4 linked regions of the Drosophila melanogaster genome follow. The protein of the gene in region 2 interacts with the protein of the main gene of each other region in a pairwise test. Each region holds a gene or a part of one and is shown on either strand. Other genes may lie near its edges.

Region 1 (7,411 bases), on a different chromosome or scaffold from region 2:
TTGCAGAAAGATATTGGCCCCATCTGTGCCCACTATTTCTGAGATAACCGGTATTTGGCAAGAGAGAGCCCCCAAAGAGCGGGAGAGCGAGAGAAACGAGTGCGCAGGCAGGGAGTTCGCCGTTTTTGGAGTTCGTCTTTGGGGCCGATCGACATCGCTGTCAGTCTGCTGCGCGCCTCGCACGAACATCGAACTCGCGGACGTGCGCGTGCGCGAACGGAACGCTCGAAGGCAAACGAAACGGAAAGGAACGTTAGGGAACGCACGGAAACGGAACGGATCAGCGACGGCCCCCGCGTTTTTGCTTTTTTGCGCTTTTGGGCTTATCAAGTGCCGGGAATCGGTGAACGGGAGTCCAGAAATCGGGCAGCTGTCGCGTGCAGTGGCCAGGAAAAGGAGTTTGCGGAAAATAATGAAATGCCTGCCGTCGGTGGCAGCAGTGTGGCTGCGTGTGTTTCTTGAGCGGCCGGGAAATGTGCATCAATTATTTTAAATGGCCAGCAGCCACCCCCTCCTCACCCAACCCCTGCGAAGTGTCCCCCACCCCAAGCACATGCATAAATACAATTAGGCAGCTAGATCGGGCCTGAGCCATTTGGTGGAGCCAAAGTTAATTCGGTGCGCGAACCAGTTTATCGACAGGCACTCCGCGAATTTTTTCACGAACGCGCCAAGAAATTTATAATAAATACGCCTAAGCTCAAATTGTTGTCAGCTGGCTCGGCTTTTGTTGATTTATGTGCGCGATTAAAGGAAACAACGCAGCGCAGTCGGCCGAGAAACCGCAGAATAAGATAATAAATATAAGTAATGCCGAAAGGCATCACCCCCGCCCCCAGTGTCACCAGTGAAATACCTGTGAGTGCCAATCAAGCGACAAAGAAACCGAAAAGACATCAGCCCGTAGAACGCCAGCCATAAAAACTTCGGATACATCCTCCGCTCCGCAAACATGGATACCCCAAATCAAATGCCTGTTGAGCTAGAAAGGTGAGTGCCGCGCCGGATTAAAAATAATCTAAAATGCAACCTTTGGGAAAAACACTTGGACGTCGTCCATTCCAGTTTCATACAAGTTGTTAATTTCTGTCAGTCTTTTGTTCAAAAAGTAACATTCATTAGGTCAATTTACGTGTGTTTTTTATTTGTAAGTTTTAACAAAATGATCTACTCCGTATCTGCGATCTAGCTTAGACATAAGCATAGTTAGCAATGTGTCCGATAAAGGCGATTGAGTCCTTGTACTTGATGGCGAACACGAACGGATGATCTGCCTCGAACTTCTTGGAGCGCGAAAAGAGTCCTTTAAGCACTGGATTTCGGAAGAAAGGTAGTCACTTCACTGGGATCTGCTTAGTGCACTTAGGTGTCTACTCACATCCAGTTTCCAGGGGTTGATCCACGCCAGCTTCAGTGACCTCCACATTGGCCTTGTGCTCCACTGCGTTAATGAAATGGCTGACAAACATGCGGTACATGTTGCCAAAGTCACCATCTCTCGAGAACATTGTATGGACGCCCAGCTAGTTGACGAAAGTTAAAGTGTTAGATTAAACATCATCATAAATAGTTGATAGTCTTTTAAAAATGTAAAAATGTAAAAATGCAATCAGAATTTATCAACTGACTTATGAAAAAAACCTTTCTCATAATCCAAAGAAATATTATTACAATATCGTAACCACTTGAAAATTCGCTCAAATCGATTCCTACTTACCTTCTTGAATGGTCCCTCCAAACCCAAGCCAAAGGTGACACTAAACTTGGGCAGCAGCACCTCCACCTTTTGCTGGCTCATCGCTCCGATTTCGGCCAGAAGATTCTTACCGGACAGCGACTGCTGCAGGGATCTCAGACCATCCTTGCGATTGGGCAGGAGCAGCAGCATGGAGAAGTCGGGGTTCTGGTAGGGCAGCTCCACCACCTTGGCGTCCAGGGAGTTGACCTCGGCGTAGTTGAAGTTCTGCAGCGTCCACATGGTGTCTACCTTGACAGACTGCCCGCTTCCGGTGCGGAAGGAGCGCTTTTCGGTCTTGTCCAGCCGGAAGGCCTTTTGCCAGGCGGCTGAGTAGGAAACGCCGTTCACGATCACTCCCTCGGTGCGATCATTCAGCAGCTCGGCGCGGAGGATGTCAGTGATCTTGCCGTTGGTCTTGGTGGCCACCGCCCGGTTGATGCCATCCGCCGTGCGCTTGTTGTACGGCGGGTGAAAGTCCAGCTTGTCGATGTTCGAGTCGAACTGGCGCTGGGCCACGTCCCTGAAGGAGCCCTTGAACTCAAGGTTCTCGTTGATGTAAATGTTGTTGGCCAGCCGGAAGTTGTTGTCGCGGGTCAGGGCCTGTTGGTAACTACCGCTGCGCTGGCTCACCGCATCCGCATCGCCAGGACCTAAACGCAGCCCCTGCTGCAACTCCGATGCCGTCTGACCCTTGGCCCCCACGAAGGCCAGCGCCATGGAACTCTGTATGGTCGCTGGCGAGATGACCACATTTTCGTTCAGATGATCGGCGGCCACGGCGTTGTAGAGATCGGCAGCCAGCAAATTGCGATCGGCAGCCGCATCGTAACCCACGGTCTTGGACTGCGACACTGTCGCGAGGAGAACTAAAGGAATCGATGCGAAACATGGCATTAGTCGCAATTTGTTTGCAGGCTCCGCCCCGCCAGATGAGGCACACTTGGAGAAAATTATAGCTCGAATAATTGTCACATTTAATTCACATATTTTTTCGTGCGATTTGATTCACTTTTTATATAATTTTCACAGAAATAGGAAGGATATTTGTCACTTTGAAATCGATTTGACTTTATCACCAAGTTAGAAACTGTGGCATTACGTCAAATATCAATTGAAAATAGAAGAAATTTATTCTTAATGATAATAAAACACCCAAAATTGTAGCAACTCTTTTGATAGCAACGGCCTTTAAAGTGGAAATACATTCCTGTACAGCTTTCGTACAGTGCACAAACCAGATCGCTTAATTGGGGCTTACGTAATAGGCAGCTGATGATGACAGCCATGGTCGTCACATAAATTGTTGATGGGCGTCTCCTGCTCCGCTTGATTCGCACTTGAGCTCGTCGGAATGTGAACTGAAATCTCTGCGATCGCAGAGCGCCTATAGAGGTTGATCCAAGTCGGATTCAAACACGAAACTCAGCTCTCGGGTCCCAAATACAAATACCGATCAAGTGTGTTTACAAATCATTTGTCACCTTTGGCTGGCCACGGGTGATTCTGTTTATTTCGCGGAGATTTGAGTGGGGCTGATAAGGCGATAGCCCGCCCGGCTTGAACTAGCATTGGAATCGAGAATTAGGTATGCCTAGAAAGACTCAGATGTCGACGATGTGGCCGGACAGCAGCAGAGTTTTGCCATTGCCGATGGCGTAAAAGAACGGGTGATTGATGACCAGGGGCAGGGCTCGTCGGAACAGATCCCCGAAGGCTAGAAGTACACCTGGTTTAGGAGGCTTCTTGGTCAGAGACTGGCGTGATCACTTACAGAACGAGTCGTCGGCATTGCCGCCATCCTCCTGTAGCTCCAGGAGACCACTCTGGACCACTGCTCCCAAGGGTGGAGCCGAACTGGACAGGATGGAGCTGAAGACCTCGCTCAGGTGGACCTCCGATGTGAATAGTTTTGCCAGACCCAACTGCAAGGGAAATCATGTTGAGAACATTAAATTTCCCACTCAAGCCAAAGGAGAAGTCTAATGACTGCTTCTTAGCTTAATAAGTATCCACGTAACTCTAGCGTTTCTTATTTAATATTGCGTTCCATATGGAAAACGTTTGATTTGAACTTGTACAAGCTGCAGTTCCAAGAGAAATCCTAACAGTTGTTAACTCACCTCCTCGAGCACGTGCTTCAGGTCGGAGTGGACTAGCACTCTGAGCTTGGGCAGAGTGAGGGCCACCTTGCGCTCCTCGAGCTGGGACCTTAGCTGGTGGAGATCGGACTGCGCCAGCTTCCTCTCAAGTTGGGCCAGGCCATCAGGCCGATTGGGAAATACAATGAGCATTCGGAGGTCTGCAGTGGCGAAGGGCACCTCAATGAGCTGGGCGTCCAGAGCGGGCACTTCAGCGTACCTGTAGCGGTGCTGTCCGAACATGGCATCCACCAGCCTGGGGCGATTTCCCCCGGCAAAGAAGTTGATGCTCTGCGTCTCGGTAGGATCGAAGGCCCAAGCCCAAGGGGCTCGGAAGGTGACTCCCGAGACGTGTAAAAAGGGCGTGTTGTGCTCGGCCAAGGACTCGAGTTGGGGGGCACTGACGAGCTCCCCCAGGCTGAAGTTGCTGCGGCTAAGGAAGGCGTAGTTGATATCCTGGGCCGCGTTCGACGCACTTTCCCACGACAAGCGGTGGCAGCCGACGCCCATTCGGGCGGCCAAGGTCTCGAATTCATTGCGGAAGTTGAAGGTGAAGCGCTGCTGTGCGTAGAGGTCACTCAGCAACCGCAAGCGACAGCCAATGGCAGCCGACTGCTTGAGGTCCGTCAAAAGGGTCTCGAAGTCCTGCACCGCAAGCTTCGGGTGACTGGCGTGGGTCAGCTCCAGAGCCTGGCGGAGTTGGCTACCGTACTCCGAAGAACTTTCCGCATACAGCAGGCTGAGCGCCGCCTGTATAAGCAAGGGGGAAACCACCACATTTGCATCTGGTTGAGTTAGTCCCAACTTAGTAGTTAGGCGTAGGCCAAAGCGGTTACTCGAGACGCTGGCCGGCGATCTGGCCAAGAGCTCCCCGTCGACTGGAAGCGTTAAAGCTATAGCCAGGCCCACAAGTAGGGCGGAAAGAAGTCTCCAGTGGATCATGTTTTGGGAAATACCAAGCTTCGACTAATGCTAATGTTAATGATCCAGTGGCTTACACACAACTAGGCTACGCGCTCATTCAAGGAAATTCAAATTATATTGAGACATTGAGGTCATTGATTGGAGAGGTCCAAAGCCAAAGTCAGAGCTCGGCATTGAAGGTCTTGGGTGATACGGAACGATTCGAGAGGCGGAGAGCTCGAAGTTCTCAGAGAGATTCACTGGGAGAGGTAGCAAGCGATTCTATCCAGTTTTCGTTTCGCGCTTGAGAAAATTTCAAGTTCGGAAGCTAACTCACTCACTCTTAATTCGACACTGCAACACAAAAGGTGCAGACATTTTGATTGCCTTCGTAATCAAATGAATGTAGAATAGCAAATCAGAAATCTGAAATTCTAAACTTTCATTTCGGAGGGGTAACTGATGTATATAATCATTAGAATTATTACTATAAGAATAATGGTGACATTTTAATTAGATCATCTCTAATTGTTTTTTATTTAGCAATTTAATAAGTTTTAGCAGCAGAGATTTGAAATGGGCTATCTGAGGGATGAAGCGTTTTTCGCGATATTTAATTATTCATTAGTAGGTACCTACTACCTACTCTTTAACACCTTCCAATATCAGAAAGAACCCCAAATTTACAACGTAGTTTTGTTGAGTGTAGGCAACCTTGAGTAAGCGCCATTAATTATGCCCAGCTTTCAGCGGGTATTTCAATTACTCATACCGCAGTCTTACAATTCTCAGCCCCATTGCTCCCCCAAAATGGGTTACCCTGCACTCCATCCTCGGTGATCTCAAGTGAGATCTAGTGCGCATGAGGAAGCTTCGCTCATTTTGAAAAATGATTGAGAAATCCGCCTTTGATTTACGGCCGTGGATGCGAGGACAAGAGGGCAGGAGGAGTGCCGCGGCTCCAAAACGGGTTTGCCAACTTACAGAAGCGGGCAAAAACCATTCGCTGGAAATCCAGAATAGCCAAGAGCCCCGGCAAACAACTGGGAAAAGGCACAATGGCAATACCTGCTACTACTGCTGCTCCGGATCGCCGTGTGATCGACACGGAATCCCATTGCTCTTATCAGCGAAACGGGGTTATCAAAGTTCAGTTTCCATAAATACAGCGTCATACTTTATTATTATTATTCACAAATGCAACGGGCAAGGCTCTACTCAGAAATGGAATTCTAATAAATCAATTTGTCCGAATTTGGTTCATTTTAGACGCTCATGGGCGTGGGATACTCCACGTGACCTATGAACAGAACTGAGGCGGGTGTGCGGACGGCGAAGACGAATGGCCGGTTGGCGACGAACTCCGTGGGCTTGGGAGGCAGCGAAAGGGGTACGAACTTGGCATCTGGGAAAGAGATTGGGAGATAATTAGTCACAGGATTCGGGGGTGTTGATGGTCTTCAGAACTTACAGGAAGCTGCCGAGGCCTCTGTGCCCGCCTCGCCCACATTGATGTAGGCCTTCTGCAGGATCTTGCTCACGCGCACCGGCTGATCCATCAACTTGGTCACCTGCGAGTTGGGCGTGAACATCTGGTGGACTCCCAGGTTCTTTAGCGGCTCGGTCATGTCCTGCTCGAACTCGAATTGGAACTTGGGCAGGCGCACAGCGACCGACTGGCGGCGCAGGCGGTGGGCAACGCGGTTGAGATCGAACTCCGGCCGGGACAGCTGCTGCAGCATTTTGCCCAGTCCGGTGGTCTCATTGGGCAGCAGGATTAGCATGCTGGTGGCGCTGTCCTTGTAGGCCAGTTCCAAGGCGGTGGCGCCCAGCTCAGGCAGCTCGGCCAGGCCGTACACATCGTCGTTGAACATCATGGCCACCTTGGAAATTCTGCCGTTGGTGTGCTGAAAGTCGTAGGGTGATGTGTCCATGGTGGCGAATTCGTGCTCCCAACGACCCTGGAAGTAGACTGCATTCACAAGGAGCGCCTGCGTCTGTGGGTCAACGTCGGTCGGTGTGACCAGGTCCCGGATCTTGTTCCGCGTCGTGTCCATCACCCAGGCGTTGATCTTGGCTGCCGTGTCTTTGGCGTTCTGCATGTCGACAGCCTCCGTGCCGGCGCTGAAATAGAACTTTGCGTACTCATCGTAGCTGTGGTTGACGCCACCCAGCTCGCGGTTGTAGTAGACCTTGGTTGCCAGGGTCAGATCTGCGCCCTCCAAATGCTTCTTGTACTTGATCACGCTCTCGAAGTCCTGGGCCACGGCCATGGCGTTCTTGCTGAACTCTCCGGCCTTCTGCAGTTCCCGGAACGTTTTTCCGTCCGAGGCCCCGTAGATCAGGGCCAGCAGCGCGTGGACGGAGAAGGGCGAGAACACCACGTTCTGCTGACTTTGCGACTTAATGATCTCCTTGAAGAGCTCGGAGCTGAAGCGGTCCATGTAGCTGAAGACGGGCGGCGGGCGATTGGGTGGCGGAGTGACCGGCTCACGTTTGGTTAGGTCCACCGCCACCACATCGCTTATGGCTTCCTGATTGTTCTGGGTCCACGGGTTTCCGGGCAGGGAACGGAGGCCCAGCTCCGGTCTTGGGTTACGTTGGTGTTGTTGCTGCTGCAGCAGCAGTTGCT
Region 2 (10,648 bases):
ATTTTTTTGCAGCGCACCAAGAAATCTGTGCCGAACATACTATACCCATATTAGCATTGTTGTACTCTATATGTAGAACAGACCCAGGGGCCGCTTAATCAATTGAGTGAGCTAAAAGCAGCGACAACACCAGCGACAGCAACGCCGACGCCCGTTTGCTGATTAAAAAATATCACGCGATTCTCCGTAGAATTTGTGCTCTGTCGTCCGGACCCCAGAGCCTAGTAAAGTGGATTGACTTGGTGGGGTAAAGTATGCCATATACATAGATCTTATACTACAGCACACATGTACATATATGCCCCGCCTTAAGGCCCCGGACTCTCTTATTACGAGAGCTTCCCATTCATTTGTTATTTCCACTGGCAGAGGTTCATTGACTTGGGTGGAAAGGAGGAGACAAGCCAAGCACTTGTGCCTGCGTCAATGATCAATCTCTGCTGATTAGAATGATTTTTGGGTCCAAGTGCCCCACATACATACGTGCTTTCCCCATCTGATGGGTTATCAGATTCCATCAGATTCCACGCAAATATTATGTTTATACTTGTTGTTCGTGCCCATGAGCAGCTGATGTGGAATTTCAGCGATTGGAGCACGACTACGTAGGTCGTTCTTATCTGTCGCAGCTAGAGGACTTCCACACTGGTGACAGGGAGCTGTGACCCGTTGACAATGGACATAAGGGAGCATAGACTGCCAAAATTACCCGGAAATGCCAATGAGCATGATGTATATGTTTTAGGTTTAAATCCATAAATTAGGTGACATTTTCTAATCTTGCTTCAGGGCATTCGCAATTGGATTCTAAAAGTTTTGCCATATGTATGTTTTTGCTTAGGCAGAAGTATACTATAAGATTGAACCACCTCTTAATAATAAATGGATATGGTTTAAAAAACCCTTTTAAAATAAAGACGATCCCTTGCGATTATTTAGTCAGTACAGGAGAGGCCCAGCGAAATGCCAATTAAATTGGGCACACAAAAGACCGCCAGACGATGACGACAGCATTGTGGGTCAATGGCGAGGCAATGGCAATGATGGTGGTGCAAAAGGGGTGTGGGGTCCATCGCCGAGGCGGAGGGCATGCGCATGCCAGAATCACGTGATGTTTGCGGACGGACGACCGGCGGGCAGCCACAGTCAACAAGGGCCACGTAAACGCAGCCCTCATCCGAAAATCTGAAGCCTCAAAAACAGAAGAGCGGAAGGAAAGGCAGGCTGTTCAGATACAGTGGGTTAGCCAGAGCACATGTATATGGCACATATATGTATGTACATTTGCTTGTTGGGCGTGTGCCATTGTTTATACGGTGAGTAGAAATACAAGGAAATAAGAGAAAGAGCGAGGGCGCATATAAACAATGGGTATATTTTTATTTTTACCGACTGGCGGTAGCCACAATTGAGGAAATTTCTATCGTCCCCCAATGAAGCAAACTTGTTATGGTAGGCCATCTATCCATCCGTCCATATCGCAGTCTAACGCGTCATTACCGATAAAGATAAACCGGTTTCTGATGATGCATTGCACGGAATCAAATAATTATATATATATATATATATGGGGGAACGCAATGCCTATAGAACCATTTGATGGTGCCCAAAACAAGGCAAAGTGCGTCAATAGTATCTATATGCGGATCTAAAATACATAGATGCATTAGATGAACCGAACACCCGGTTTATCACATATAGCAATTAATTATTGTGCAAACTAATTTGGGATATATGTATTGTTGTTAGCTTAAGCGCCATAAAGAGTGCGAGTATCGCCGGAAAAGGCAAATTAAACATTTTCTCTGAGTAATCTGTTTTAGAATAGCCACTGTAAGCGTACAATTATAAATAGATTGCATAGCGTATAAATATAAATATAATGCCAAATGTCCCGGTCAAGCGTGGAGAATATGGACATTTCGGATCCGAGAGACCTTGAACCTGAATTATGTAGACATTTCAGCCGGACGACGGCAATGGGTGGATATTTGGAACGGGCAGCGAGACGGCACCGTTTCACAAAGATTTGCTAATCAATTGAGGAACCCTGGACGCTTCTTAGCACGCCTAAAAATGGGGTTTAGTTTATCGTCGACTGATTACGGTTATTGGTATTGGAAACCAAATTGGAATTGAAATAGTAGGGTTCGGTTGGCCGTGGTGTGGCATGGAATCGATGGCACCGACGCGGAATGGTTATGCTTTGACTCACTTTACCGTTAGCGGTGAGTAACGACGTGACGCAATGGGCTGCCCTAAGAACCGTTAGACATTGTGGACCGAATTCCTGGAGGCCCCTAAATGTAATGTAGATGACTCACCATCCATCGCACCAGACGCGCACATCCTTCCGCTGCTTGTCCGAATACCCATTGCAGGCGCTGGTATCGCCATTTGCCTCCATCGTTGACTTATTGAATTTTCACAATTTAATTTAATTTTAATTTAGAATCCGGCTAACGGGCGAACATTAGATTCCGGAGAGTATGTTTCTGTTTTCAGTGCTCGTTTTGAAGGCGGAAACTCGACGACAGCGACGTTCACGCTTCGAGAGCTGTAAGTTATTTGTTCTGAGCTACGACGACGCCCGCTATATATCAATTCCCATTTCACGACCGAGCTACTCAGTTCAGTTTTCGTTATCGGTTTCGGACTCGGATTCACGTTCAGACTCGGAGCGGAATTGGTCTCAGATTCTCAGACTTGCGTTATCAGCGCGCGGGCGCATGGGAACTTCTTTGGGGCGTAAGTGCGGTGTGTTTAGCTTGGGTTTTTTTTTAGATTCTTTCATTTCTTTTCTCACAATTTCGAGTACCGTGAGAGCAGAGTGGCCGCATCGGTGTTTGTCCAAATATACCATATGCCTGGTGCGATGAATACCAGCTAACGCGGATTTTGTAAACATCAACAGCTGATCGAGATATATTGGGAATAACTTTAAATTGGCAAATTTTATGTTACTAAGCTAGAACTTTTATATTAAGCAAGTACAAATCTGTATTATTATACGTTAAAAGGGTATTAACTCTATTAAATCCTTATGAGTCGATCACCCCAATGAAATGTATAATATTTTAGGATATAACAAAGTGTTTTGTTTATAAATAAATGTAAATATTGTCACAACAATTATTAAAAAAAAAGTGTCATAGAATTAAACAACGAACACTACTAATAACATTCACAATTAAAATTTTTTTTTTCATTTTAAAGGTATATTTTATTGATTGATCCCACTGTAAAAATAATACCGATGGTATTTTAAGAGGCATATTGGCCATGGCGATGTGAGATAATACTACGGTGTTTCCCACGGTCACACAGGATAAAGCAACTTAAAATATTAAGCCTATCAAATAAGAAATATACAACGCACAGCACGCAGATATACGAAAAATAACAATCGAAGGAAACCGACCAAGCCATGATAATGTAATCATGATCGTCCACAGTCAGTTCGGGCATTGTTTTGTAGACAGCATCAAGTATATTTTTTAAATTTCACGTGCTAAATTTACAAGAAATCCTACCACAATTACTAAACGAGTCGACGAGGGCTAGATAATCCCAATCCCATTCCCCGTACCAACGCGATGTCCAGAAGAGAAGCCAGCCTGATGGCCTACGTAGCGGCGGAGGAACACCTACTGAACCGGTACTCGCCGCTGGAAGGCGACGAGATAGATACGGCCAGCGAAGCTCCAGGCGACGCATCGGACGTGGCTGAGGATCGGGAGTATCCCACGGATCTTGTTGCATCTGTCACCAGATCCTCGAGGACGGGAGCAGATCTGGACCCCGCCGTGGACAGCAACCTGCACGTGATCTCCGACGACTCGGACACCCACAGCTTTATCTCGAGTGGCAGCGGCTTCAAGGGCTGGCCGGAGGAGCAGCCGTCTTCCAGTTTCGTCCCTCAGAATGAACCCTTAATATTCGGACTTCGCCGGCAAATGATGATGACCGAAGAGACACACCAAGCCCCAGTATGGGCCACCTGCACACCGGCAAAACGTTCGTACAGCAGCCACGAGGTCATCGAGATCAACGGTTTGTTAATCTGTTCCATTAACTATACAAGGAAATCTCTTCCATTTAATTGATTATGAACATTTATCCCAATTGAAAATATGAAATATCTAATATGGTAAACTCACTCAATCGCATACTTTTCTTGTTTTTTAGACTCACCCGAATCTGTCCAGGATCCGGGCATTGCACTAAGCCCCGGCATGCTGCTGACAAATGGCAATGTTGACCAGTTCGAAATGCTGTCCCACGAGAATGATGAGGCTGAACATGAACTTCAGGTGGCCGAAGAAGGGGAGCAGTGTGTGATCTATGAGGCTGTGGATGGAGAGAACATGGTCGTTTTAGGAGAAGAACACTGCTGTGAGATCATAGTAGCTACCCAGGGAGTGGCATGCGAGCAGGAGTTCGCCAGGGCCATCATGATGGCCGGAAACGGTACCGGTGCATTGCTGGGCTTGCTGTCCGAGGAGAGTGATGCGAATGAGTGTCTCAATGGGACTGCCTACATCGAGGAGGTCGTGGAGGATATGGGTGTGGCCGAGGCACGATTGGCGGCTGGAAACAATGTGTACCTTAGTGATGCAGCGCTAGAACAGCCTTTAGTGCACCAGGATCTGGTCGACGACGAGGCTCCGGAGGAAAACGAAAACGCCACATTCTTAGACGATACACCGATGGAGGAGGAACGCCCAGATATTTGTCAGGTGTATGATCACGAACTGGAGGACCACGACGATGAAGAATGCGAGGACGCAGTCATCCAGGAAGAACCAGCCCAGCCTATCGACATTGTAGCATTCGAGGGACAGGAGCCGCTGCCAAATAATCCGCAAAGAAAGTTGCTTCGCGAACACAGCAGTCCCACGGAATTTCCCGTCAGCTCATCCTCCATGCCCAACGCCAGTGACCACTACGACTATGAGGATGAGTTAACGGGCGGCCGCTCTCCATCCAAAGTGGCTCCACTGAAGCGAAAGTATCCGCCGCTGATGAAGAATACGCTCCATGGAGAGGCTATGGATCGAAGACTGGCAAGCATTTGTCAGGCTCAGCCGCAGATGAGTCCCGCCGAGAAAGTCTCCAACTGGGAAACGGCACCCAGGGAAGAGTGGGCCGATGTCGAGGATGTGGAAGGCTTTGAAGCTGCCTTCAAGCAATATGAGGCTGTTACCGCATCACTCAAACAGCTTAACTTTGCCGAATTCCGTGAAGCACTGGTCCGGAATATGGAGAAGATCAGCCGTGAAATCATGCAAACCTCAGACGAATCCACTCAAGAGCTTGCCAGCTCTCAGTCGGCGGAACGGCCGGTGTATCGTCGCTATTTGCACATTCTGCCCACCGAGGAGACAATTGTGCTAGATGATGATGACGACGATTGCTACGAGGTGGTCGGCATGGAAAAAGCCTCTGTCACCACATTGATACCCGAAGAGGAGCTACAGGATAATCAACAGCCGGAGGAAGAAGAGATAGTGCTGCCAGTTGTTGATGACATAAAGAACACGGATTCACCGAATTTCGAGCAGCGGAACCTTACCAAGGAAACATCTACAGCAGACTTGGAGAGAAGCGCGCTTACTCAAACGGCGGGTTCATCCGCTGCGAATTTAGACGCATCCTTATCCCATGCTCAACCTTGTCCAACTGCTCCGGCAGGACTTACTGATTTTATGCAGGCGAACTTAAGCGACCGTGGGCCATCAGAAGACCAACAACTAACCAAAGCTGTATTAGATGTTATGCGTCAGCAGGTGCAAACAATGCAACAGCAACAGCAGTTTATGGAGCAAAAGATGAACCAACAACCACAGATGTATCACTACGAGGAACTGCCACAGGCTCCCCAACGTAAGACTTTTTATTTGTATTTTATTGCAAATTTAATTGGTTAATTTAAATTACAGAGATGCAAATGGAAGGGAATCAGGGGCCTTACGTTAAGTATCCGAATGAGCAACAGGAATTCTGCAACTATCTGGGTCTCACCGAACTGTCAACAGCAAATGCCGTGGCTACCGCAATGAGGGAACTAGCCAACAGCACTATCCCTCGCCGATCGCTGCGGGTGAGACCACAACAGCAACTGGACAGGATGCGTAGTGATGTGCGTGGCAAGCGGCGCGAAAGGGAGCGAGATAGGCAGCAGGATAAGGACAAGAAGATACCGTTGACCACAAGTAGTGAGCTTAGCACCGATAAAGAAGAACCCTCCCCGCCTCAGACATCAGAATCCGTTTCAAGGATGGCGGGGGATGCGGATGTCCATTTCAACTCTCAAATGCCTGCAGAGCATAAGCGAAAACTGAATCACTTGTACAACTCTTATTTTGCGGAAGAGGAAGAATGCTCTACGAAGAGGTCACCCAAAACCACCGACTTTATAGCCAGTTCCAAGTCCTTAAAGGATGTAGAGAGGCGTCCATCGCTCAAAGGACAGGAGCCGCAACGTCATAGATCCATCATTGATGGCGACGGCTATCAGAAACATCAGATAGACAATGAGTCTGAGAAGGGTCGGGTTCAGTCCGTTGAGGCGGCTTTTACTAAGATCTTCGAGGCTGCCGCACCTGCCCAATCCAAGCTGCTGGAGAGCATGCAGCAACGCTTGCGCCAGGCGCGTGAGACGAAGCCATCAATTTATATTATTAAGGCTACAAGCAATGCCTCGCCCCCGAATCCATCACACAGCAGGCAGGAGTCTCACATCTCACCGGCGCCCTTGAACTTAATCGGCGGCTTTGGTGACGTAAGCGCGCCGCATCCTTCTGTCATTTCCCAGCCAGCGAAGAAAAGTCCTACAATAACCAGTCCAGATAAGGAAACTCCAGCCCCCTTACCAGTTGATACACCCAAAAAATCAAAACATAGGAAAACCCATGGAGCCACCAAACCTGTTGCCGCTACACCACGACGCCGCACTACAATGGGTGCATCCAGTCTCGGGAACGAAGCACGTGCACGCGATTTGGTTACCCGCTCCACCACGCATCTTAATTCGAAGCTACTTCGTAGCCGCAAGGTTAGTCTGCTCAAGAGCTACGCCCTGTCGGACGAAATGGCTCAGGGACGATCGAAACGGATGGCTGGCGGTGCAGCACAAACCACCAAAAAGGCTCCAATGCCCAAGGCAGCACGGACGTCGTTAAAGAAGCCGGCAGATAAAAGTCTTCCTGAGCAACATCGCTTGGAGCAACAGCAATTGGCTCCGCCAAACTCTCCCCGAAAGATGAAAGGTGTCAAGGAGACTGAAACTGACACGACAAGTGCAATGAAATCTAGTCGCCTTACTAAACGGACCAAGCGAGCACGAGCCAAGTCACTGCCTTCGAATATTGAAAGGGTGACTGAGCCTGTGGCAGCCGTTCCTAATGCCAATGTATTGAGGCTCGCTGACCTGGCACCAGAAGTGCCCAACACATTCGCGCCTACACACAGCCATCTGGTCAACTCCACAGCCAAAGAAGCCGCTGACAAGACCTTCGTTCATTCCCCCTCCGTCGCTCAATCGCCTTATGCACAGCCCGTGCTTATTTACCCGCCATCCCCAACAACACCGCCACCGAATACGGAGCCACATCGCCCTCGCCAGCAAGCCGGAAAAGTCAATCCAGCTGACTTAGTCCTGGCCACCCCTCCTGGGGGCCTGCTGCGACTCAGTCAGGGATCCGCGACGCTAGCAAATCCACTTTCTGCCAAGCACGGCCAGGTTCTCTATATGTACTACGAGCTGGAACAGCTCATTGTGCTGCAGGAGAATTGCATTACCTTCTGGAAGTACTCCAAAGTGTTCAACGTGCTGCATCAACCGCGACATAATCCCTCCTTTGATGGCGCCAGAAAATCTCCATCTCCAAAGCTGCCTCAAACACCTTCGCGCGAGCCCAAAGACGTCGAGCAGGAGTTGAAAATGGGCCCGCGATGGGTTTACCTGGGCAGAGTGCGGCGCCTGACTAGCGGTGGGTTATGATCATTTATACACTTTACGAATCTTTCTAGCCTCTTTGATGCATTACAGAGAAAGAGATCTTTACGCCGTTTGGCAGCCGCATTTGCGTGCACAATTCGACGCCGGTGTACCTGGAAATGCGAAGCAGGCCGCTGGACCATCACAAGAGGGAGGTGAAGCTAACCTCGCTACATGTGAATGTGTATTACTTCTGCGAGGAGGAACTACGACCCCGTATGCACTCTGTGCACTTGGATGCTGTCAATTGGTGAGGACTATCACGCAGTATGCATAAATTCAATGACGTAACCTACAACTTTCGTTATTTAGCGAATGGCCGCATGTCATATACACAACTATAGCGGATTCGCGTTACTTCGTTATGGCATGGCAGCAGGAACTGGTGATGGGCAAGTCGCGCTCGGGCATTTGCAAATATTCACTGACGCCCACGCTGGATACGCTGGCCTCCATACGGGAGTTTAAGCAGTTGCGCCACGAGCTGCGTCACATTGAGTGCCTTTCAGAGGATCGCCTTATCGGCTACGGCCAGATGCGCATCACCGTCTGGGATCATCGCAGCGGCGATACTCTGATGAACTACGACTTGGGCCGGCCGCTGGGCCGTTGCCTGGCTGCTACGCACTATCCTAGCCTCGACTTGGACCAAAGCAGCATGCTGGTGCTTTATCAGCTGCTTAAAGAACCAAACAAACCGTCTGAGGTGCATGTGATCGCCTGTGAGCTTTCCCATGCCACGCCCTCGCACCGCCTGCTGCAGGTCCACCGCTTACCATCGCCGCAATTCGACGATGCCACGGAGGGCGTTAACACCGGTGATCATCTGATCATCAAGTCAGCATCGAACGACGAAGCCTGGATAAGTGCCGCCGATCCGAGACAGCTAACCTATTTGGCGCCGCAAATCAATGGAGCTCAGCGTTTTTATGCCCGCCACAAGTCCCAAGTGATCGAGATGTCCCCGCAATCCCTAACTGTAGATAGTATCGCCAATCACATGTTGAAATTGGCTGTCCAGCAGACCCAATCGGCGTAGACCTGTGTCGCGGAACTAGAAATGTGGAGAGTCTCGGCCTTGAACAAAGTTTTTGTTTTTTTTTTTCACACAAACCCATGTTTGAATATCACCCAGAATACCCGATCTATAAATGTGCTTTTGGCTGTCTGCCCAAGTATAGTTCAAATATAGGAAACTATAATAAGTTGCGTGTTAAGCCCTGTAGTCCTAACAATCATTTTAGTCGTAAGTAAGTCGGAGAGTAGTAGCCTTTATTATGCGCTATTTTGAAATAAGTGTTTTTGTTTCTTTCGTTCTTTTTATTTTTTCTAAAAGAAAAACAAAACTAGCTTAAGCTATCGTAGTTTTAGGCATATGAATTCAACTGTTTGATTTGCTACTATCGACTGAAGTAGTAAATTTGTCATATTTTTAAGATTAATGGAAACACCAAAATGGAAAGAAATTAATGTCATTAAAACGGAAATCTATTAAAAATACAACGTTTTTGTTTGCATCAATTGCATCTAGTCGATTCACAGATATGTTGTCATCCACAATAATTTGGTTTATAATACTCGATCACGGATTTCGAGACTGCCTTTGGACTCGCATCCTAACGAAGTTGGTTTTTTACTTCAGTTGAATCTTGATTATATGGATGAGCCGGTCACCGAGATCTTCGTGTATTGGAGTACAAGGGAAGGTTAATCCTATAAGATCTCAGGGGTAAAATCATAGCTGGCTCTTGAGTATTAATGATAAAACGAAAATGCCTTTGGTTTTTAATTATAGTTCGTATATTTTAAACTAATTTTGTATAATATCTAATCAATTTCAACTACTCTGTTGTCGATCAATTCCGACTGTCTACCCTATAAACTAACTTCTTAAAACTAATCATTATTTACGATTTTGTTAGTCTCTAAGTTCTAAGTTTTTATATACAGAAGTTTTACTTACATCAAAAAAGTAAAATCCATCGAAAAAATTGTGAGGTGGACCAAATATACAATTAGAATGAACGCGAATGCGATGCTATTCGGTTATAATATAGCCACTAGGAAGCCAATTGCCTGCCTGAGAACCAACCACGAAATGCAAAGATCCCTAAACTGAGTTCCATAACTCGTGGCATTAAATCGCTCTTACATGTCTAGTAAAGTACAGGAAATTCCAATTTAGTTACGTTCGCTTACTGTACACACGTTACGAATATAGAGAATATACATATCTCTATTTTGGCGAGAACCATTTCAAGGCTGTATCAAGCCCCAAAAGAAGAGTAAACGCTGAGGGTGCTCCGGCAGCCGTAGCAGTCCACTACAATTCTTTTTCCGGTTTCTGTGCTACCGACGCTGTTTGGTTCTGGCGCTGCTCCTTGGCCAGTTGCCACCGCTTAAACTCCACCATCTGCATGACGCGAACACGCAGAGGTTGTTTCCGTCGCTGCATGACCGCCGACAGTTTGCCGAACTCCATGCTGTACATGAATACGACTGGAATGAGCACGTCGTCCTTGCCGTCGCCAGACATTGCGAACATCGGCTGCGTCTCACCGGAAGAGCCCGGAACATTATCACAGACAATCAGCGCCGCCGCCCCCACCTTCTGGGCCAGTCGCGCTTTGCTAACGAACGTGCAAT
Region 3 (6,790 bases), 8.0 Mb from region 2:
AATACCACCAAAGTGTTGTTGGGTCAAAATATTCTGGAGGTCGGATGTGGCGGAGGATTGCTTACGGAACACTTGGCGCGCCTGGGTGCCCAGGTGGCTGGCATAGATCTTGGCGAGAAGTTAATAGAAGCTGCTCGCGAGCATCTCAAATGCTCCAGTCCGGAGTTGGCCAGCAATGTGGTGTACAAAATTGAGCCGGTGGATCAGCATGCCAAGGCCAATTGCGAATGCTATGATGCGGTGATAGTGTCTGAAGTTCTGGAGCACGTCAAAGATAAAGTGTCCCTGCTGGAGGCCAGTGTACGCAGCCTAAAGCCTGGAGGATCCATCTTTATCACCACTTTGAACAAAACCATACCCAGTTGGTTCGGTGGCGTGTTACTCAGCGAGTATGTTCTCAATCTGGTGCCCAGGGGAACGCACCACTGGGACAAAATGATTTCGCCCTTGGACGTTCAGCGCATCTTGGATACGAGTAAGTTTATCTCAGGCTTTATATTCAGATTAGGCTATTCTTTATTCTCTCGTTCATCTGCAGTGAACTGTCAGACGGTGTTGGTAAATGGAAGCACCTACGACTTTTGGAGCAACACCTGGCGATGGATCAACAACAACCAGATGTGCTACGCCTTGCAGGCGGTGAAACAAGCACAGCGCGAGTACAATTGAATTCGTATATTTATTTAACTAAAAGCTAAGTCACGAGTGTAACAACTAAGTAGTAAACTATTCGTCACCCGAGCGTGGTTTCTTAAAGTACTGCTTCTTCATGGCATGCGGACTATCACTATCTCCGCCGATTTGCTTCCTTTTAAAGTCCTTTTTGGTGTTAAACTTCTTGCTCATGCTGCCGGAGACCGTGGGCGCCTTGTTGGCATAATAAGCCTTTACCATGTCTTGGTCGGATACCTCCTTGGGCTGCTCCGGCCTTGTGCGGCCCTGCTTTTCCGCCAGATCCTGCTCCATGAGAAGTTCTAGCTCCGGATTCATGCCGCGGAAACTGAGGCGTCCGTCTATCAGGCCGGCGCATATCGAGTAGCTGGACTCCACCACAAAATTCGAGGTGGAATTGAGCATCTTCTGGTTGATCTCGTTGGAGTACAGTGCCCTGCTCTGCTCATCGTCTGCCTCCTTTTCCACTTTAACTTTTGTGCGCTGCATGAACTTCATGTCCAGGACACCACGCGAAAGTCTCGGCTTTGATTTGGATGGCATTTTCCTTATTTATTTTTGAATCTAATATAGTAGAAGTCCTTTGAGTTTAAAAACTAGGGCGAAACCATCAGGCACATTTAATTTTTTTCAAAAGCAGAATGACCGAGCACAACAAATGGGGAAAGCCAGTGCTGCAAATCATCGTTCAGCCTAGCTAGAAAACGTGGCGCGCCCTCGTGTTTATGCGATGTTTAAAGTAAATATTTAAATTACTGTTGAAAGTTAAAACAATCCTTCGTTATCAAGTTGATCTTTTTAAAATTTTAAATTCACCCTACTGACAAACAAGCTCAACTCCATCTTCATGGGCACTCTTAAGAAAACTTCCAGCTGTGCTATACATGCTCTGTAAACGATCAAGACTAGCACAGGCGCCTTCAAAGGGTTAATGCTTTTAATTTGAAACCTAAAAAAGACCCAATTTCATTTAAAAGTTGTCGCCAATATTATCGGACAATAAACCTTAACGAATGGCTAAATATTATGGAGTACTAAAATAATTATTATTTATTCGTGATGATACATTTGAAGACCAAGTAGAAAACATTGGATGATCTGTGTGTTGGACTGCAGACTAAACTAAATACAGAATTTAAATGAAAATTAATTGAAATTAAAGATCAAAATATTAAAAATGTTTACCTGTTTAAAATATAGTGTTGAAATGTGCGCAAGCATCGATTAATCGATTTACTATCGTCGTGGCAGCGTCGCTTTGCCACACTGCGCAGTGCGCACGAAGAATAGAGGGAGAATGAAAAAAATGACATAAATGGCGGAAAGCAAACCTAGCGCCAACATTCGTATTTTCGTTTAATTTTCGCTCCAAAGTGCAATTAATTCCGGCTTCTTGATCGCTGCATATTGAGTGCAGCCACGCAAAGAGTTACAAGGACAGGAGTATAGTCATCGAGTCGATTGCGGACCATGTACAAGCGCAAAACCGCGAGTATTGTTAAAAGAGACAGCTCCGCAGCGGGCACCACCTCCTCGGCTATGATGATGAAGGTGGATTCGGCTGAGACTTCGGTCCGGTCGCAGAGCTACGAGTCTACACCCGTTAGCATGGACACATCACCGGATCCTCCAACGCCAATCAAGTCTCCGTCGAATTCACAATCGCAATCGCAGCCTGGACAACAGCGCTCCGTGGGCTCACTGGTCCTGCTCACACAGAAGTTTGTGGATCTCGTGAAGGCCAACGAAGGATCCATCGACCTGAAAGCGGTACTAACACGGCCAAGCATTAAGTACTCTACCTTAACATCGTCCAAATTTCCCCTCTGCAGGCAACCAAAATCTTGGACGTACAGAAGCGCCGAATATACGATATTACCAATGTTTTAGAGGGCATTGGACTAATTGATAAGGGCAGACACTGCTCCCTAGTGCGCTGGCGGTAAGAGCCCCTTACATTTTATGAAACATTTTAGTTAGAACTAAAAATGTTAGTGACAACAAAATTAAACAAAATGGGGTGGAAGTCGCCCTTTAGCACTTAATACTTAATACAGTACAAACAGGTGGAATTTACTTTGATCATCTTCAAAGTATGATTCCACATAAATATTTCTTGATAAATTATTGATAATGTGCATTTTCCAGCGGAGGGGGCTTTAACAATGCCAAGGACCAAGAGAACTACGACCTGGCACGTAGCCGGACTAATCATTTGAAAATGTTGGAGGATGACCTAGACAGGCAACTGGAGTATGCACAGCGCAATCTGCGCTACGTTATGCAGGATCCCTCGAATAGGTCGTATGCATATGTGACACGTGATGATCTGCTGGACATCTTTGGAGATGATTCCGTATTCACAATACCTAATTATGACGAGGAAGTAGATATCAAGCGTAATCATGTAGGTATCTTACCAGTCGGAGCTCTTTAAACTAGCTTTCGAGGTTTCCCATTTCTTTCAACGAAGAAATATCTAAATTTATCGTATAATATGGGATTCAAACGAAACATTGTTTTTGTAGTACGAGCTGGCCGTGTCGCTGGACAATGGCAGCGCAATTGACATTCGCCTGGTGACGAACCAAGGAAAGAGTACTACAAATCCGCACGATGTGGATGGGTTCTTTGACTATCACCGTCTGGACACGCCCTCACCCTCGACGTCGTCGCACTCCAGCGAGGATGGTAACGCTCCAGCATGCGCGGGGAACGTGATCACCGACGAGCACGGTTACTCGTGCAATCCCGGGATGAAAGATGAGATGAAACTTTTGGAGAACGAGCTGACGGCCAAGATAATCTTCCAAAATTATCTGTCCGGTCATTCGCTGCGGCGATTTTATCCCGATGATCCGAATCTAGGTTTGTCTTCTTATCTTGCCAATTTAAAAGACCCCCTGTTTAACTTGATGCTGTCCGATGTTGCAGAAAACCCGCCGCTGCTGCAGCTGAATCCTCCGCAGGAAGACTTCAACTTTGCGTTAAAAAGCGACGAAGGTATTTGCGAGCTGTTTGATGTTCAGTGCTCCTAACTGTGGAAGGGGATGTACACCTTAGGACTATAGCTACACTGCAACTGGCCGCGTGCATTGTGCAAATATTTATGATTAGTACAATTTTGACTTTGGATTTCTCTATATCGTCTAGAAATTTTTAATTAGTGTAATACCTTGTAATTTCGCAAATAACAGCAAAACCAATAAATTCGTAAATGCACACATTGTAGGTTGTGTATTTTTTTGTTTTAGGTAACTTCCGTAAATGTCGTGGAATTATTTGGTCGTGTATGTGGAAAGTGCCAAGGAAGGTTGGAAAGATTTATAGGTTTGTTTTAATTTGGTCTAGAAAATCTATGATGCCTTGTTAAGCGTTTATGTTTACGTTTTTAGAGAGATGGTTGATGTCTTGGTATTTTTCCAGGGCTGGAAAGTGTTGTACTTGGAACAGCTGATTAAGATGTGGGATACGTTATCGAAAACGTTACTTGGTCCCCTTATGTTATTGTAACATGTACTTTATTCAAAGTATAATTGTCGAATCCGTTATCGCTGAGAAGTCTGTTGATTCTTTTGATCTCTGTAGATTTAAGTTTACATTTGGGATTTTTAACCACGGTTTTTTCAATGTGTCTGGGAAAAGTGTGCAGTAGTCCCGCTGTTTGTTTGCAGCAAAATCTGCGTTTTCCCTTTCCCAGTCTTTTTGAATGATTTAAACCGAGACATCTTTAATGGTCCAACTTACTTCGGTGAAAATTCCTTGCTTCGATGCATTTTTGGCGGCCAGGTACACGAGATCATTTTCTGGAATACCGGACTGACTAGGCATGTGATGGATTTCAATGTGTGTCAAGCATTGGGATTGTTAACTATCTTCTTTTTAATGTTACAGGTTATAGGATTGCAATGTCGCTCTTCATGCTGTCTGTTAAGATGGCCACTAGGGAAATGCCTATCCTGAGAACATAGTCCAGAGCTCTGTCTATCGCTAGCAGTTCGACAATTGAGCTAGAAGTTAGGAAGGCTGCGTTGGATTGATGTTCGGAAACTGAGTCATCAGTGAAGTTTATCTCGAACCCCCTGTTTCCCAGATTGGAGACCTTTTCCTTATAGAATTTTAAAATGCAACTTTGGTCTATAGCATTTTTATTTTTGTCAATTCCTTTAAAGAAGTTTATGTCTACCTTAATTTTGGTTCCAGATCACAGCCTTTGATTTGGTTTAATATGACTTTAAAGTCGTTGTACGACTTGGAATAGCTAGTGTTGAGATCGTAATTCCCTAATAATATTTCTTTGGCTGGTAATGCGTGGGCAAATACTTTAATAAGTTCCTTTGTCGTTTGGAAACGAATTCTGTATTCCGGTGACATTTCTGTCTCCATGTGGTAGATAATTTGGGTAAGTGTCCATTTAGTAAGCCCTTGCACTTTTTTGAAGCTTTGATTGGTGTGCACATTTATTTTATTTATAGCTGTTTCGGATAAACTGCTGAATGAGGAGCATGCATATTCTAGCCTACTCCTTAGAAATGCCTTGTGAAGAAGAAAACTTTTCGTGGTATTGACGCCAAAGTTGCAGCCACTTAACAATCTTAAGATAGCGCCCGTTTTGTTGGGTGACGAGACCGCTCGTTCAATATTTGGACAGTAATTCGCGGCTATAATTCTTCCTAAAGTTTTCCACTTCGTTAATTATAGTGCCACTGTGAGCAATTTGTAGTGATTGCCTTATAAATAGTCTGCATATTGGAACAGTTCGAACAGTTTACCATCACTCAGGTTGTGTACTTCTGCTGTGTATAGATTGAAAAGAGTCTGGCTCAAGCAGCTTTCTTGAGACACTCCTCTGTTTACGCCTAGTTTTGTAGTTTCGCTTAATTGAAACTCATTTTCGGACAAAGTCTGTCAACCAATAAATGCGGTGAGGGTTAAATTGGAATTGTTGTAATTTAGACGCAAGAATTCCCATGTCTACGCATTCGAAATCCTTTTGAAGATCGAGGCACGCTGCAACTAGATGAAATCCTTTCACTTTAAGTGACCTTATTTATTAGGTCATTTATGCAGAGAGTGGATGAGGTAAAATGAGGTGGTCCAATCCAATTTATATTAGCCCCTCCTCTTTTATCTTAAACAGAACGCTTATGAAGCTTGAAACCACTGAAATTTGATCTCTCTCCAAATTTCTGGGATTTGACCTGATAACCGTATTATATTAAGCAGATTAAATAGATCCGCATTTTTTGTCGAGGAAAGTGTTTGTATCGTTCGATACGAGATATTGTCGCTGCCTTTTTCTGTGTCTGGACTTCTGGTTGGTAGATAGGTTAGAAAGTCCATCCATTCAAATGGGTATGTAGTAACGATACAGTTGGGTCCCTGATTGGGTCGGGTAATATGGCTTTCGTGGATGGAGTGCTTTTAAATATTTATAGGAATTGTTCATCCCCTACTGGAGCCCATGTGATGCCAGTTCGTTAAATCTGTTTGTATTTTTTAAATTTTTTGATGCTATTCCAGATGGACGGCCCTTAGAGATTTCTTCTACAAAGGTGTGGAAGTTTGATCTTGTTTCTTTTGTTATTTGCCGAACGAGGGGACAGAACGTCTCTCATTGTTATTTACCGATTTTCAGTTTGCAAAATCACAGTTCCTATACCAGGCGACTCAATAAATTTATCTGCTGGTAACATGACCGTAGTTTTATTTCCAATAATATGTAAAAATTTAGTTTTGTTACAACATATATGTACAAATGTGAAGTAGCGCCACTGCCCAGGCACCTTATATTTTTTCTGTGTTTAGCCACACTGATATGCATTAAAAAATTTGTTCGTTCCCTTTTTCTTTGTTCTTTTTATTTCACTCTCGCGATGCTCCGTTTTTTGGCAGTTGTATGTAGAATTTCCATTTAAATTAATTTTTTGGAGATTGTCTTTCTGCTTACTTTTGTTCTGCTTTGTATGTGTGTACAAACAGCTTCTGTTTTTCTAGTTTCTCTTCTTTTCTTCTTATTGTGGCTACAAAATTTTCCCAAGAATCAGGCAAACTAGACCATAACAACTGAGTTTTTTTAAATTCTGCGCAATTTTTTCCATGCTTCTGCCGAAGACAC
Region 4 (8,008 bases), on a different chromosome or scaffold from region 2:
GAAGAAAAGAAGAAAGCCTTGACGTTAAAGTGGACTCAGGAGTTTAATCGAGTATATTGTAAGGAAATCCGTAAAATCAGCATGTTTGATGATGAAGAAGAGTCTGGAAAGGAGGAGGAGCAGTACGAGCCGCCGGAGAAGCGCACCTGTCACGTGAAGACTAAAAAAATCAATCAATTTCGAATTTTGGATGATGATGATAATGATGCCGGAGACAAAGCTGTAGTGGAGGATGAACAGAAAGATCTGCTAGCAAAGACTCCCGAACCAGAGGTTTTCAGTTCGGATGAAGAGGAGGAGCACTTATCAAACGGCCGCTATCCCTCGGCAAACACATTAGTTGTTTGCCCCATGAGCGTTATGTGTCAGTGGGCCCATGAGGTGGCCTCCAAGGTAGCGCAAAATGCCATTAGGGTGCTGACTTTTCACGGACCCAATCGCCATGAAATCGGAATAGAGGCATTCAGGAGCTATGATTTAGTCATTACCTCGTATAATCTCGTAGTAAACGAGCTTAAACGATATGGAAACACTTCTCCACTGTTCGCCGTGTACTGGAACCGCGTGATCCTCGACGAAGCTCACATCATTCGGAATTCTAAAACCAACTGCTGTAACTCTGTATGCCAGTTGCGGGCGCATTGTCATTGGGCCCTGACTGGAACGCCTGTCCAGAATCGGGGCGTCGATGTGTTCGCCCTGCTGCGGTTTGTAAATGTACCAAACTTTCAGGACCTCCAGCAGTGGAAAAAGAACCTAAACGAAAGCATGCTCGGACATCGCCGACTTAACTTTATAATAAAACCACTAATGCTGCGCAGGACAAAGCAAAAGCTACAGGCATCTGGCGACATGCCTGCGCTGCCTTCCCTTAAGATTGAACTTATATGCGTACAGCTATCGAAAACTGAAATGGCCGTGTACCAGATCCTGTCTGCCATATCCAAAAAAATCTTTACACAGTTCCTGCTCCAACGCGAGAAGGGCAACAGTGATTTAAATTATTACTCTCTGGAAAGAACCCCACAGTTTATAGCCGGACATATGTCCGACGAAAGGTACAACGAGATCTACGAAAGATTCCTTAAGTCGCTTGGCTACAATCCAGGGGAAAAGATCCTTGGTATCTATATCCTGGTGCTACTGCTGCGGCTACGACAGTTTTGTTGCCATCCGGGACTAATGATTGGGGTAAATATATACATATTTTACTTTATCACCCCACATAATCATACTCAACATCTTTCGTTAGATGCTGCGTGGTGCTTTGACCGCCGAGGACGTCCAGAACGTGAAGGTGGATGCCTCAGACGTGGAGGGCCAGCTCAAGATGGATGTCCTTGCCGAGTTGGATAAGTTTGACGAAACCGATAGCGAAGATGACTGTTGTGACGAGGAGGACAGTACTAGAAGAGATGGCAATTTCAAGTTGGAAGTGATAAAAGATGAAATTAAGGAGGAGAATGTGCCATGGGATTCTGGTGATGACCTGCCAACGGCCAGTTCTTTTGAGGATCAACTAGATAGTGCCAGAGCTCTTAAACTGCTCAATCCCCAGAATCCCATCTTTCAGTTCATACGCCCTTCTGCCAAACTAAAGATGGTCATTGATAAGCTAGAGGAACTGCTCACAGGCACCAACGACAAAATCATTGTTACATCTCAGTGGGTAAGCTATCTCGCAATCGTCCGTAAAAGACTGCAGGATCTATCATGGGAAACACTTGACTTTAATGGCCAGCTGACCGCCAAAGAACGCGAGATTGTACTGCGAGACTTTAACGCGAATAACGAGAAGCGCGTTCTTCTACTCTCCCTCACCGCTGGCGGAGTGGGACTGAATCTGAACGTGGCCAATCATATGCTAATTGTGGACCTCCACTGGAACCCGCAGCTGGAGCGACAGGCTCAGGACCGCATTTATCGATATGGTCAAACTAAGCCTACCTTCATCTACCGCTACATGTGCCAGGACACTGTAGAGCAACGAATTAAGTCCCTGCAAGATTGCAAGCTAGAAATTGCGAAAGTTGTGCTTCCAGAGGAAGGAGGAGAAGTGACCAAATGTGTTGGCGGTGGTCTCAACCTCGCGGAGCTAAAGAAACTCTTCGAGATGTGAGTCGAAGTATTTTAGTTAGTTTTAAGAAGATTATGTTTTTTTTTGTTTAAATTGTTCGCATACAAAAGCTTTACAATTTCACCAAAGTGTTTTTTAACGGATTGAATTCGTTTACAATTGTGTATTAATACTACACAGACTACCTTTAACGTTATACGTTACATTTGATATAGTCGCACGTCCATAAAGCATAAAGCATATATATTCCCTTTTTTTCTATATTAAGAACAAAACGTACTAATAATAAAGCATACTAGTTGTTTTCATGATGTATGGATCATTCTTTTTGTCTATTTTTCCTTTTGTTCTCGCAAAACCACAACAAAGCTAAAAGAAAAAAGTTTGAAGCTCTAAAGATATATAAGAAGGCATTAAGTAGCATGTGGTAGCAATCAATCGATTGTTTAATTATTTTCAGTATAATAATGTATTGTGAAATATACAATTAAAAGGAAATTTCAATAATATAAATTTAGAGCTTATTCTCAGTATATTTGAGTTTCTGTGAAATATATAATTAAAACGAAACTTAAATAATATTAATTTTGAGCTTATGAAAGTAACAAAAGAATCATATTTAAGAAAATTCAAAGTAAGAATCAACAACAGAAGTTTAGACCTGCGGTCATTATAATTATAATGAATAATAAATCGTTTATATTCCTTTCACATATATTAATCTGCTTAATTCAATGGTTGTTTTCCAAGAGTATAACCGGTAGTCACCCGTTTGGACATGATCTTCTCCTACATCGCTATTACGTTGTTGCTGTGAATGCGTTTTTTGTGCTTTCGCAAGTAGTTAACATCTACAAATACCAATGAGCAAAATTCGCAACGAAACAGATCTCCCATGTGACCACGCTCGTGCCTTTTGAGATGTTTTTCTGTTTTGAACTCCTCGGAACAATAGGTACATTTTTTAAGATGATGTTGGCGATTGTGAGTAAGCATATGCCGCTTCAAGGCGTAGACACTACTGAACTTCTTTTGGCAAATATCGCATATCGGTTTCCTGTTGTTAAATAAATAGAAGCAAATGATATTAGTTGATTCGCCTCGACTATCAGATACCCGTTAATCAGCTAGTAAAAGTGCGAGGGTTTTCTATTTCTATAAATTTTACTAAATCTTAGGGATTTAGCTCCTATAGTTAACGGGATCACGGCGTTCTTACGGACACGCAGACGGACGGACAGACTATTGATCCTGTGCAAGATTATTATTTCCTTCTACTAGTAAACCTTTTTATTACTTATCGTGTAACGGGTATACAATTTTAAAGTTTGGTTAAAGTTTGATTATTCAAATTTTCTTCGGCGAAATGGCTATCGCCAAAAATTTAAGTAAAAGAATAAATGAAAACAATAACTTAATGTCCGTTTGTTGGCTTTTTAAAGGTCTGAAACAAACTCAAAACCTTAATTTTCTAGATTTTTAATTCCAGAGATCTCTGCGGACAGACAGACGGAAAAATAGACGAACGGACGGACTGATGAGAACTTATGAACTCGGCTAGTGGTTCCGATTAAGAATATAAAGGGGTCAGATACGCTACCTTCGCTCGTCACAAATTTCTCAGCGGTACTAGGGTATAAGTATAACTATCAGGTATAACTATATTACATAAGACTGGTGGAGTTCCAAACTCACGGCTTTAGCATAGGTGGAATGCTGCACGTGCCATTGAAGGTGTTCTTAGTCCACTTTGGTTTTAGATCCTGCGCTTGATCGCTGTCGTCCGAGTCAGGATCCTTCGTGGACTCCGATTTTGAAGAGCCCGGCCTTTGTTTGTGCTCTCTGCGATGGATTTCCAGCTGAACGTGTTCGATAAATACCGCTGAGCACTGGCTGCAGGAGAGCGGACCGTCACTGTCGTGGGTGCGCAGGTGCCTTTTAAGGTGATCTTTACGCATGAAAGCCTTCGAGCAGTGGAAACACTTGTGCGCTGGCTTGCTTAGGTGGTTTCGCAAATGCCGCTTGAGGTTCGATTTTTGCATATAAGTGCGTGGGCAGTAGGGACACCTGTTGCACAGATCGGTGATGTGGGTCCTTAACTGGGTCTGGGAACAAAATCGCTTAGAACAGTGCGGGCAGTTGTAGTAGCCATCGGCATCGCAGATCATTTTGGTACTTCTGAAAATCGGGAATATAATTATTTAAGCTTATTTAAGTTATTTTTAATTATTCATATAAAAGTATAAGTAATCAAAGATGTACCTTCAAATTTTTATAATTTTTCAATTATTTGTCTATCTTGAGGCTTGATATTTATAACAAATTGCATTACCTTGTAGCTTCCTTTGGGATCATGTCTGCCTGTTCTTCTGTGCGACAAGTCCGCTTACGAGGATGCAGGGTGAAGGACTCCGGTGGGCCATCAATATTTCCCTCTTGGAGCTTCGCTTGGAGTGTTTGTTTTTGACTAAGATCATCATCTGGTTTCTGCGTTTTTGTCATTTGCTGCGTATCCTGTTGACGATCGCTTTTGAGCTGCATTTTCTGGTTTATTATCTGGTTCTTATCCCCATTACATGCAGCTAAGTGCACTTGGTTTTCCGGAGCACCCGACTGGTTTAGGACGCGGAAGAAGTGCTGGTAGCTCTGCTCGCTTTGCCACTTGAACCGGAAAGCATTCTGCACGGCCAGGACGCAGGAAACGCATATGAACTGCGGCAGCAGGTCGCCGCGTTTCACTGGACGTTCGGTACACCTGGCCAGGATGTGCGAGAGGCTCATCTCCGGTTCGTCGAGCACAGGATCCCTTACATTGGCGAATATATCTACCAGGGTGCCGGTCTCGTCCATACAAGTCCGGCACACGTTCTTCGCGCTGTGCATCATCTAAATCAACAACCAAATGCAATGTTTTTTAATAAAAGAACAGTTTACGACATCTTATGAATTGACCATTGACATTGGCCTTGTTTTGCAAACTAATAATCCCGTTTCGCTGGTTTTACAGTTATTGCTGGTAAATTATATGAATAAACGGCACATTTTTTAAAGAGTTCAATTGATTTCTCATTCTACACAAGTGTAAGTGTTCACTTTTTGGAGAATTGGATGATAACTGGAACTGCAAAGAAACCAACCGTCGCACTGATCATTTGTACATTTTTTTTAGTGCTGAATAATACATGTACACATGGAAAACAATTATTCAGAATAAAAAAAATTGAGATTGATATGATATGAAAAAATATGTATATATGTATATATATGTATATATGTATGTATATTTGTATTAATAACACAAATATTTTTCAGGCAAGCTGGCTTTCATTGTAATTTAATTACGATTTGGTGTTCTATTTATTTTGGGAATAGAGTACTAGTATTTACACAAAACATCTGATGATTCATTTATGAAATAAAAATTCAATATTTTCAATAGAAGCTCTACACAGCAAATAAAAGCTTTTGATGAAAATATGTTTAACCCGCCGCTAAAATTTTAAAATCAATCCAATTACATTAATTCTGCATTACAATATAAACCCAAGCTTTATTGATTAAAACCATACTGTGCGTAATATATACATTTCAGTTTCTTACAATTTAAATATCTAGTAAAAAAAATTCGCTAATTGACAGTACTATATAACTGAAACAGGTTGGCAGCCCGAAGGCAACAGCTGATTCGCTTTATGAATGCGGAAAATTTGTCTGTGTGTTTATGAATATTATGCCGATCAATGGAACGAGGAATAGTTATGTGAGTGGCTACGCGGCAATCACAACATACGTACTCTGTAGAAAACCCCGCTTGACTCCTTGCCAGACTCGATAAATTGGCCCGCAGCGCTTTGCGGTTGCACAGAATACCGCAAATCAACCGCCCATTGGCCCCTGATATTCATTTCAAGCGCCAGCACAGCAGATCTGGGTCAGATTGCAAGGAAATCTGGGAAATGCTGAGCCAACTGCCTCTGTTCGCTGGGGGCGAGATTGTTCGGGGCTTCGGACGCGGCTCCAAAGAGCTGGGCATCCCAACAGGTTGGTGGCGACGTTAGGCGAATTGCGAAGGTCATTTCTAATTGATAACCAAACCACTTGTTAGCTAACTTTCCGCTGGAGGTGGTGAAATCGCTGCCGGAATCCCTGCCCACTGGCGCGTACTACGGTTGGGCAAACGTGGATAATGGACCCGTGCACAAGATGGTCCTCAGCATCGGCTGGAATCCCTTCTACAACAACAAGGAGAAGAGCGTGGAGACGCACATGCTACACGACTTTAACTGTGACCTTTACGGCCAGACACTCAAGATATGCATTGTAGGCTACCTGCGACCGGAGCGCAGTTTCGACTCCCTGGAGTCACTGATTGCCGCCATCCGCGGGGACATCGAGCAGGCCAAGGCGTTCCTCGACGAGGCGGACAAGGCCAAGCTGAAGGAGGCTCCGTTCTTTACGGAGAAGCTCTGCTCGTCGAAATAGCGATGGCGTAGGTCAGTCTGGAAAAGGAGGCTTTGCTGAAGGACGCACTACTACTCTTCGCACGGCTTTGAAATAGTTATTCCATCAGTTATCTTATCTCTCAATTTGCGCGATGTGCAAAGCGGAATTCGAATATCGAATCAAGTACTTAAGCTAAACGTTTTCATTAAATTCCTACTGCTCATAATGACACCAACAAATTGAACCAATCGCATTTCAGTTTGATACTTATCAAATGTATAAAAGAAACCGTTTTTGTAAAAATGTTCCTACTGTGAATTTTTTCTAATATATTTATCTCTTAGTGGCGTTTTTATTGAGGGATTGCAGTGAACTTATTTTCAATTGTTATACATATGTAGTTAATTATTATTTATTTATTTCACGAAACATTTTTTATATTTCTGGTTTTAATTGCCTACGTGTTAAAAAAAAAACTGTTAAATATTATATATACGAACATACACATACAATTTTTAATTAATTTTAATTGCGCAAAATAACTTTAATTCAATTTAAAGCTTATTATTTAGTTTGATTGCGTATATTTTATATAAACGAATAAAATCAAATTATAATGTGTATATTGTTTTGTGTACTAAATTACAAATTAGGTAAAATTCCAATTTGAAAATACAGACTATAGAATGCTATCGATCCATCAGCACACCGCACTATCGATATCAGCGACCGATCGATATTGGGCTTGATCTCGACCGATTCGGGAAAAACTGAGCTGCGCGTGCGAGCGTGCGAGGATTTTTCTTGTATAAAACCGTTGCGTAAATCAGCAGGTAAATCAGATCGGCGTCAACTGCGCCACTGCCTGCAATCAGTTGCCTTCAACCAGCATATTGTACCGATTTTTCAGCAGCAACATGTCAGCGCCACAGCAACAACAACAGTCGCAGCAGAAGCAACAACAACATGTGCGCGTGGTCGAGCAACAACAGGTGGAACCAGCTGAGGCGGTGACCTCCAGCATGGAATCGGAATCCATCTCGGCCAGCAAGGAGCTAACCGGTTTGACGCACGAGTGCGGCGTTTTCGGGGCAATCGCTTGCGGAGATTGGCCCACCCAAATGGACATTGCACACGTGATCTGTTTGGGGCTGGTGGCACTGCAGCATCGTGGGCAGGAGTCTGCGGGCATAGCGACCAGCGAGGGAAAGTGCTCCAAGAACTTCAACGTGCACAAGGGCATGGGTATGATCAGCACCCTGTTCAACGACGACTCCATGAAGAAGCTTCGTGGCAACCTGGGCATCGGTCATACACGCTACTCGACCGCTGGCGGATCCGGAGTGGTTAACTGTCAGCCCTTTGAGGTACATACGACACATGGAGCATTGGCCCTGGCCCACAATGGTGAGCTTGTTAACAACGAATCTCTAAGAAGGGAGGTTTTGGCCAGAGGCGTGGGCTTATCCACGCACAGCGACAGTGAGT

The links.
Region 1: the proteins of CG16972 (region 2) and Spn43Ab interact in a two-hybrid assay, tested with the Drosophila melanogaster proteins (one large-scale study listed by BioGRID).
Region 3: the proteins of CG16972 (region 2) and Mpp6 interact in a two-hybrid assay, tested with the Drosophila melanogaster proteins (one large-scale study listed by BioGRID).
Region 4: the proteins of CG16972 (region 2) and kipf interact in a two-hybrid assay, tested with the Drosophila melanogaster proteins (one large-scale study listed by BioGRID).

The regions. Positions count from the first base shown.
Region 1 is NT_033778.4:7,150,541-7,157,951, forward strand, and holds Spn43Ab (serpin 43Ab), read right to left. Parts: upstream 3,103-7,411; 5' UTR 3,025-3,102; coding exon 2,997-3,024; intron 2,605-2,996; coding exon 1,718-2,604; intron 1,524-1,717; coding exon 1,379-1,523; intron 1,313-1,378; coding exon 1,191-1,312; 3' UTR 1,122-1,190; downstream 1-1,121. Other genes in the region: Spn43Ad (serpin 43Ad), read right to left, coding at 3,340-3,452, 3,510-3,660, 3,859-4,818; nec (necrotic), read right to left, coding at 6,045-6,184, 6,251-7,411.
Region 2 is NT_033779.5:13,195,949-13,206,596, reverse strand, and holds CG16972 (uncharacterized protein), read left to right. Parts: upstream 1-3,301; 5' UTR 3,302-3,596; coding exon 3,597-4,053; intron 4,054-4,188; coding exon 4,189-5,886; intron 5,887-5,942; coding exon 5,943-7,994; intron 7,995-8,053; coding exon 8,054-8,252; intron 8,253-8,314; coding exon 8,315-9,041; 3' UTR 9,042-9,495; downstream 9,496-10,648. Other genes in the region: Pect (phosphoethanolamine cytidylyltransferase), read right to left, coding at 2,325-2,407; Edem2 (ER degradation enhancer, mannosidase alpha-like 2), read right to left, coding at 10,326-10,648.
Region 3 is NT_033779.5:21,151,396-21,158,185, reverse strand, and holds Mpp6 (M-phase phosphoprotein 6), read right to left. Parts: upstream 1,899-6,790; 5' UTR 1,858-1,898; exon of another isoform or gene 1,795-1,857; 5' UTR 1,216-1,794; coding exon 727-1,215; 3' UTR 670-726; downstream 1-669. Other genes in the region: Coq3 (coenzyme Q3), read left to right, coding at 1-669; E2f2 (E2F transcription factor 2), read left to right, coding at 2,143-2,442, 2,505-2,614, 2,821-3,079, 3,201-3,540, 3,607-3,710.
Region 4 is NT_033777.3:7,911,039-7,919,046, reverse strand, and holds kipf (kipferl), read right to left. Parts: upstream 5,197-8,008; 5' UTR 4,964-5,196; coding exon 4,410-4,963; intron 4,256-4,409; coding exon 3,773-4,255; coding exon of another isoform or gene 3,769-3,772; exon of another isoform or gene 3,678-3,768; intron 3,135-3,677; coding exon 2,867-3,134; 3' UTR 2,594-2,866; downstream 1-2,593. Other genes in the region: CG10445 (uncharacterized protein), read left to right, coding at 1-1,191, 1,253-2,119; Rfk (riboflavin kinase), read left to right, coding at 6,034-6,118, 6,183-6,559; Prat (phosphoribosylamidotransferase), read left to right, coding at 7,438-8,008. UniProt on the Drosophila melanogaster protein: DNA-binding zinc finger protein that recruits chromo domain protein rhino/rhi to specific chromatin regions enriched in H3K9me2/3 histone methylation, mediating piRNA (piwi-interacting RNA) biogenesis.